Oryzias latipes: one gene and its partner. The protein of the gene in region 1 interacts with the protein of each later gene in a biochemical or structural test. Links are inferred from orthologs where the notes say so. Each region holds a gene or a part of one and is shown in the gene's direction. Other genes may lie near its edges.

Region 1 (3,821 bases):
TGAAAATGGTGTTTTTAACATGTTTTTGTGGCATTTCTCTTATCATCATATATACACATATGTATGTATGTGTATGTGTGTATATATATATATATATAAAATAAGCTTAAAATGGCATTTCTGAGTATTTCTTTTTTCAATTTTATGTCAATAGGGGGCAGATGAAAATGAGCAGAGCCTATTTGTGTCGTAGAAAATATGCTGGATGGGTCATAAGCTTCGTTCTGATGCATCCACTTGTAGACAATCACTTACATGTTTGTCTTTGTTTTCCTTGTCTGAGCTGGAATCTGGCTCAAAACTGTACGGCTGCATAGCTCCAATACTGCTTACCATTTTTGTTGCACCGGTAATGTTATGTTGGGGCTGTAAGCTAGCAGGAGCGCATGTAAACAGAGAGCTCTCAGTAATGGGGAAGGGAAGGGGGCGGGGTTGCTCCATGCCATTTTTCCTGCCCACAACGCAATGGTAAATTTCTAATGTTTGCAGAATTATGTCCTAGAAAACAAGACAAGTTTTTTGTTTTTGGCTAAAAGTGGCATAATCAAAATGAAAAGACCACTGGGAACAGTTGGAAAATAGATCAAAAGATGATCGGAGTGCATCTTTGAACTGTGTCACAGAAAACAGGAAATACGGATCTCTGTTAATTTGCAAGTGAACCCTGATGTGGTCACCACAGTAAAGATACAATGGACTGTTCTGTGGGTTAAAGAGAGGAAGTAAACTTATTGAAATCACAAAAGTGGCTTCAAATTTTAGGCGAAAATAAAATGATCCACAGCTAAGATATGAAGGAGTGTGGATCACTACAGTTGGATAAATGGCTAGTTTGTGGATGAGGATAATATAGACAGGAAATGGGTTTAAAAAATACTTTAATAGGATGTATAGTTTAACTTAAACTGCGTGATATTTTGATTCCATCTAGACTTATTCAGTTTTCTAAACTTTAGTGTGAAAGCAAATCAAACCATTTATTTTTTTCTGAACTTCCAGTCAAATCTAGTCTTCTGGTCTGTCTTGTTTTAAAAGTGCGTTAATGCTGTGTTTCTGCTCTCCAGCATATCGCCGTCTCCAGAGGGATCTAGCAGATGGTAAATTAGCTTCTGGCGACTCTTTCTACATCCGAGTAAACCTCAACATCTCCGGACAATCCGACTGCTGCTCTTTAAGCGTGCGCTGCGATGAAGTTGTGCACGTGCTGGATACCAGGCACCAGGGCCTCTGCCAGTGGCTTTGTGCTCGTGTGGAGCCATTTAGTGGCTCTGACCTGGCCGAGCGTGGCACCATTCCCAGCAACTCAAGGTACTTTGCAACTGTTTGTTTAATGTTCTTTCTCATGCAGGAGGATGTTTTATAATGGACAAAAGGAGTTTTGGTTTTGTTAAGACTTTTCTCTTGGTATGAATGGGTGTGTACAGAGCACAGCAGCTGCTGCTGGTGAAGATTCAAAAGTTGGTGTGTCGAAGTGGGAAAGAAGAAATTGACAATAGCAGAGTAAGTGAAAACTTGATTTTATATTCAAGCTACATATTACACAAAACAATTGTATAGTTTTTCATATCAATGCTATTTGATTTCAGCAGACACTTAGTAAGTTAGCTTCGATTTGGGTCAAACACTGTGTCTTCTTTACCTTTTGCAGCTTAAAGATTCTGATATTCTTTCTATTAATTCTTTATGTTTGTCTAGAACACTTTAGCGCCAGAAGAAACAAGCTCGTCTCTCGATCCCAAAGCCAGTCCACGCTTGTCCAGAGCGAGCATTTTCCTCAGTCAGATTCTGCAGGTATTTAAAGAAAACCAATCCCACTCTCATGAGTCAATCTGAGCCCTGATGTGCCATTTCTTGTGGGTTTCTTGGGTTTCTAGTTCGTCGGCAGGGTGGACATCAAATACAAACGAATGAACAGCAATGAACGCGTGAGGATTGTCAACTCTGGCAGCTCATTACTACCAAGACAAGAACTGGAGATGCTCAGGCCTGAAGGTGAGCATAGAAACAATGCTTTTCATGGATGTAAGGGGAATGACGGACCTTGGTTTGATTTTAGGACTAGGGATGCCACGATTCTCAGATAAATCATTGCATTCCTGTTTAGGACCTACTAGGACATAAAAAAATCAAAATCAAAAGTCTGGAACCACAAAGCCTAGCATAAATTCAGATATTCAGATATTTATGTCAAACTGAGAGAAGCTTAAAGGGAAATAAATATATTCTTCTTCTTACTGTTTGATGGTCAAGATTTCTTTAATAATTTATTTTAAGGTGGCAACTATGTTGTATTTATAGACTAATTCATATATTAACGGAACCAATTGTCTCTGATGTTACCTGTAGGATTCTAAATGATGAACATGAATGCCTAACCCTTGTGCTATCCTATGACCCCACCCTTACATTGACGTGTTCTCCCTACCATGACAAAGGTGGATAACGGTGAAGAGGATTTCATGTAATCCATGGACACCAGTGAAGTTTACAAATCATTGAAGAAAAAAGTTCAGGGGTCTAGATGACCCAACTTCCAATGTTAAAGTGCCTAGGATAGCACAAGGGCTAAAAAAGTGGCATGAACATACAGAGTAACTCCTATTCACTCAACAATTGGAGAACTGTCAATCAAGAAAGACCATAGAGATTCTGTTTTTTTTAGGCCACCCAAGACTGCAACCTTCACCCAATCACCCAATCTGCCTTGATTTCTTATAATTGAAAGATAATCCCCTCCCTCCCTGCTGCCCCTAGAGCTGCAAATAAAAGCACCAAATATTAAGAAGTGTTTTTTGACCAGGCAGAGCACAAGTGTATTTTTTGTGTGTTATTCTGCTCTGAACCTTATTTAACACAGTGGTTTACTGGAAGGTTTTGAAACCTGCCTCTGGTGGTTCTTTGAGGAACTGCAGAAGTAGCCACTTCCTAGTTTGATTAAAGTTCTCAGAAAATCTGTTTTTATTTTGTAACATCAGTATTACTTACATCTACCATATAACATTTTTCTGAAGGCTGACTAGAAATATTTATGTTAAGCTTTTGTTAAGCTGTGTTATTGTTTTATTAATTCATGGCTGATGCTCTGTAGGCTGATGAATTCATTAGAAAGACAAAGGAGAAAAACTCTTATCAAATTAGTGAAAAATAGATGGATCTCTCCAGGAGGCAGAAAAAGTTTTAGATGACAAAGAAAAAATGAAAGCTTTGTTTGTGTGGGAGTTAAGACTTGTGCTCTAAAAAACCAGAGGATCACACATAGAAAATGAAAGATTTCTAAAAATAAAATGTGAGAGCTAGAAGGGGGTTGAAGTCTCGGTGGAGGTAGAAGAAAGCTGTTTGAAGAATAAGATGAAAGCAAAGCAAAAATGTCTTTTGAAGTAAACAGAGCAAGAGTGTTTGAAATGTTAAAAAAATTACATTTACTGGTAGACTGTAATGTCTTTACCATTGCTTTGATTACCAAACGAAATAACAAAAGAGCAAAATGTATGAAAAAAATAAAACCTCAAGTTATAACAAATGAAACCAAACCAGGTAGAAAACAGGTTTCCCTCTTTTACAGGGCCATGCTTTTCTTAAGCCTTTTGTAGGAAAAAATATCTATGTACTGGATATGGTAATACATTACCTTTGGAACTCATAATAACATTTTTTATATTAAATATTAGTTATTTTCCTGAGCTTTTTTCCAATCCGGAAGTAAAACAACTCAATATCTGAGGTTGCGCCTTTCGCTCCATGTGGGTGCCGCCCATTTCTTGATGTCATCCTAGAGCCGGCCTCCGCAGCGTGTCTGTGTCTCGCCCACGAAAACAAACAAC
Region 2 (4,549 bases), on another chromosome or scaffold:
CAGTTCCGTCAGTTCCAGAAAACATGTCATAGCAGGAAATTGAATCAAAAAAATGCAAACAGAAAGTGTCTCTTGTGTCAACAGCAGAGAAAAAAACAAAACAAACAGGAGCTACTTTGCTCTTAGTGCTGCTGTAAAACAACAAATTTCACTTCCTGACATGATTACAGCCCAAAAACTCACAAACTTTCATCAGCATCAAGTCAACATCTTTTATGGAGTTAACAAAAAAAAATACCTATTTGGTGTAAAACACACATAAAATAGTCAACTTTAGTCAGCACAATTCAAACTGAATAATTGTTTTAAAAACCGTCAAACTTTAGAGTTTTGTATCAAATTTATGTGTCTATAATTTGTAAATTGTCTGCATTTGTTCCCATAAATAAAATAAATATGACCAACTTTTAAATGTTATGCATTAAAATGAAAAACAATTATATTGAAGGAATCTAAAGTTTAATTTAAATTTTAATTATATTTATACATCCTTTTAATTTATACTAATATAAAAAAAGTTATCACTGTAGAAAAAACACTTTTTTTGTACTTAGAAAAGGAAACATTTAAGAGTTTCGTCAAAATTTTTAAGGCCCTGTTTAGGTGCACAATCGTTCATACACATCGTTCCCACAGCAACAACCTCCCACCACCGTGCTTCACTGAAGGATAGTTTGGAGTTTCGGGCTTGGTTTTTATCCACTCAGATTTGGATCAAACTTCTCCAAAGATTCTGGAAGTTTTTCCTTTTTGTCAGTGAGATGAAACTGTAGTACAGCTTTTCCCCTGAAGATGTCGCCATCCAACGATGTAACATTCTTCCAACAAATGTGACAGAAGACCCTCTAAATTAAAATTTTAAACCAAATTTCTTACAGTTTTCCATTTCTGTTTTTAAGAATACAAATATTGGAATAAAAATATTATAATATATCAATTGACAATATTTTTACTATTAAAAATCTCAATTAAATTTGAATGAGTCTGACTCTTTTAAATCACATTTGAATTTTTCTTTTAATTTGTTAAAAGTGTCACATCAAGTTTGTCATTGTTTTAAATGTTAAACTTGACCAAAAAAGCTCCATGTAGCTTAGTAAGAGGTAATAATTAATTTAAATAAATGGTAAGGGATAATAAAACTACTCAGAGGAAAACTATAAATGTAAATGATGTCTTTCTCTTTTTCCTGTGATGACGAATTTTACTGAGGAGTTTAAAGACTTGTGGGGCGGGAAATTCTCTATTGTTCTTCTGTTTGTTACAGATGTGTATTTGATATTTGCAGTTGTGTTTTTTATTGCATACCTAAAAGTACATCCTTGTAAAATGACAGAATGTGCAATAAAGTTTATTAAAAAAAATAATAATAAATTATGGGGCGGGAAATGACGTTTTTAGTTCTGTTTATCTGAGACCGTAGGAGGAGTAAAAGCCCAAAACTACTTTTTGTCTTTAAGCGTCTTCGGTGAGGCTCTGAAGTCGAACAAGGCACCAACAGAGACCCTCTACTTATGTTTTCCATTATTTATTTATTCCTTCAAAGCAACCTCACGTCAAAAATGAGTACCTGCAAAACGGGGGAAATTCGGGGAGTCCGTGAACGCACCATGGTATCAGCCTTTTAAACCTGGCGCGTGCTTCTTCTGATGTGTCGCGCGGCGCGGTTGAGGGCAAGAACGTCGCCTGTCTTCGTGAGGTGAGACTTTCAGTTTGAGCTTTTTAAAGTTTGCTAAAACTAAAATGTTGGAATCCGCGGCGCTTTGAAGTGGCGCGAGCGCTTTGGCACGAGGACTCCATCAGAAAATGAGGAGAAGTTTGGCTTGTTGGATCCTTGTATTAACAGGATTTATGCCTTAGCAGTTTCGGGGCGAAAATGGTGATCTAAACGCGAAATCTTTGAATTTGGTTTAATACTTAGTACATTTTTGTGTAAAAATAGACTCAGAGTTTTTGTGCTGGTTAGTGCCTCAATGATAAAACCCTGAATCCATTTGTTTGTTTGTTCAAAAACAAATCGCTTGAGAAACTTTAAATATATAATAATCTATGTTTTTAAATGTAAAGAGAGTAAAAATCAGGTTTCTTTTGAAAATGAAAGATGAGAGTCCTGCTTTTGGTGATTTTTATCTTTTTGAAGCATTTTTCTATGGATAGAGGACATTTACTTGGAAAATGATGCTTAAAATTGAATTTAAGTACCGGTATTTTTTTATTCAAACTGTTGGGAATCAGCCACAAGCTCCCTGCTCCGCCCCATTCTGATGCATCCACTTTCAGATAAGTAGATCCATGAATGTCTTTGTTTTCCTGAGCTGGAATCTGGATAAACTGTATCGCTGGATAGCTTTGATACTGCTGTTATTTTTACTGTTAGGAAGCTAGCAGGAGAGCATATAAACAGAGAGCTCTCATTTATGGTTTGGAGGGGCAGGGTTGCTGTGCAGCAACAGTCCCACCCAAAACTCAGAGATTGTTATTATTAATATTACTGTTTTTATTACTGCCGCTCTGCAGAATCCATGTCCTAGAAAACAACAGTTTATTTTTATTTGTAGCTAATTAAAAGACGATTTGGAACGCTTTGAAACAGATCAAAAGATGATCAAAGCGGAACTTCAGTTTACTTATAGAGGAAACACTTTCACACCACTTTACTTGATCTAGGCTGCACATCGCAAATGTTTTGTTATCGCAATATCAAACTGTGCAATATGCATATCGCAAAAGACAGCAAAAATAACGATAAAAGGTTAACGAGCCCTTTTATGTTAGATGTTCGCCTCCTATGTAGATGATGGTCATCTGGAGGATCATTTTTTTAATTTTTGCAGTGAAATGGAAATAATGTTTTTGGTTGTTGTGCTATCTGTTCATGTACCACGTCATCGCAATATTGATCAATAGTATCGCATATCATGAGTTTTCGTCATATTGTGCTGCCCTAACTTGATCCCAAATAAACAGTCATGTATGATAGTGGTAGTTTCATGGTGTGGGACTACTTTAATTTAAAAAACCCTCCTTCCGCTTGCTTTCAGGGCCACTTCTGAGAGAATCACATGAACGTTTTTGAATCCAGGTATAACACTAGATGCTTAATGGTTTGTTTTTATATTATTTATTATTATTATTATTTATGTAAACCAATTTGTGTTATACTTTTATATGAAAAGTGCTTTATAAATAAAGTTCAAAAGTTTGATTCATACTTATTCTGCAAAGTTATAGTAAAGCATGGTAGTGGTTAGGGCTGCACGATATGAGGAAAACTCGCGATATGCGATATTGGTGATTAATATTGCGATAACGATATAAATTGTGGTATATAAACAAATAGCAAAAAAAACAAAAACATTTTTTCCATTTCACTGCAACAGTTTAAAAATTATACTCCAAATGACCCTTGTCGACGTAGGAGGCAAACATCAAACATAAAAGGGCTCATCTGATTGGTCAACAACGTAAACGGGTCCTTCCGATTGGTTAAATGCATGAAGGGATTTATTTCATTTGCTCAATATTTCAAGCTGCCATGAGATTGTTTTAGCACATTTAAGGTAACCATTTATTGCGATTTTCGCCGTCTTTTGCGGTATGCATATTGAACAGCTTAATGTCGCGATAACGATAAATTTGCGGTATATTGTGCAGGCCTAGTAGTGGTAGTATAATAGTGTGGGACTGCTTTGATTAAAAGCAAACAGGAAAAAAAAACTCCACCTGCTCCCTTGCTGATCAACCTCTGAGAAAATTACATGAAGGTTTTAGACTTTGTGTAAATCTAATGAAATTCTGCTAATGAGTTAGTTAATTGTTAGTTAATAGTTAATTAACAGTTAATTAACAGTCAACAGTGAGGTAATGGTAGTTACCATAGTTACCAGTTTGTCAATAGCTGGATAACCTAACGATAAGATCTCTGCATGTTGTTGTTTATTATTTTTCCATATTACACTTTTATACATTTTGGATCTTTGAAGGAACATATATTCTAAAAATAAGTCTATCTTGGGGGGGGGGGCTCTGCTCTTTTTGATGGACAGACTCTTTCATGGAAGTCTGATCTTCTGGGTTTCCGTCAGCAAAGACTCACCCCCTCCTGACAACAACAAAGGTGTCTCCCCGCCGGCCCCCGCTTCAGAGGCGCCCCCACGCTGCGCTTCATAGCCGCACAGGTTCGGAGCTGCCCCGCTCATGAAAGCCTCCACAAAGGCCTCCAACCTCCTGACCTTCTTCACATCTCTGTGTTGGAGCCCGGGTGGGGGGGTGACATTTGCTGATCCCTGCTCATGTTGAGGTCTGCGGGCTCTCGATCAAACCCTTCTGCTCTCTGGAGACCAAAGCATTTCCACTTTTCGCTCCCTCATCTGCTTTCATTTAGAGTCCCGTGTTTACAACAAAACGCCACATTAACGCGAAAATTGCGTTAAATGGTTATCTTAAATGTGCTAAAAATATCGTATGGCAGCTTGAAGTATTTAACAAATCAAATGAATCCGTTTTTGCATTTGACCAATCAGATGGAGCCTTTTATGATAGATGGTCA

Evidence for each region.
Region 2: of the proteins of card11 (region 1) and prkcq, one has a biochemical effect on the other in vitro, tested with the Homo sapiens proteins (2 studies listed by BioGRID). The link is inferred for Oryzias latipes from reciprocal best matches to the Homo sapiens genes CARD11 and PRKCQ.

Annotation. Positions count from the first base shown.
Region 1 is NC_019866.2:18,997,554-19,001,374, reverse strand, and holds part of card11 (caspase recruitment domain-containing protein 11), read left to right. Parts: intron 1-1,064; coding exon 1,065-1,308; intron 1,309-1,424; coding exon 1,425-1,500; intron 1,501-1,695; coding exon 1,696-1,791; intron 1,792-1,874; coding exon 1,875-1,992; intron 1,993-3,821. UniProt on the Homo sapiens protein: Adapter protein that plays a key role in adaptive immune response by transducing the activation of NF-kappa-B downstream of T-cell receptor (TCR) and B-cell receptor (BCR) engagement.
Region 2 is NC_019881.2:20,888,560-20,893,108, reverse strand, and holds the start of prkcq (protein kinase C theta type), read left to right. Parts: upstream 1-1,533; 5' UTR 1,534-1,699; intron 1,700-4,549. UniProt on the Homo sapiens protein: Calcium-independent, phospholipid- and diacylglycerol (DAG)-dependent serine/threonine-protein kinase that mediates non-redundant functions in T-cell receptor (TCR) signaling, including T-cells activation, proliferation, differentiation and survival, by mediating activation of multiple transcription factors such as NF-kappa-B, JUN, NFATC1 and NFATC2.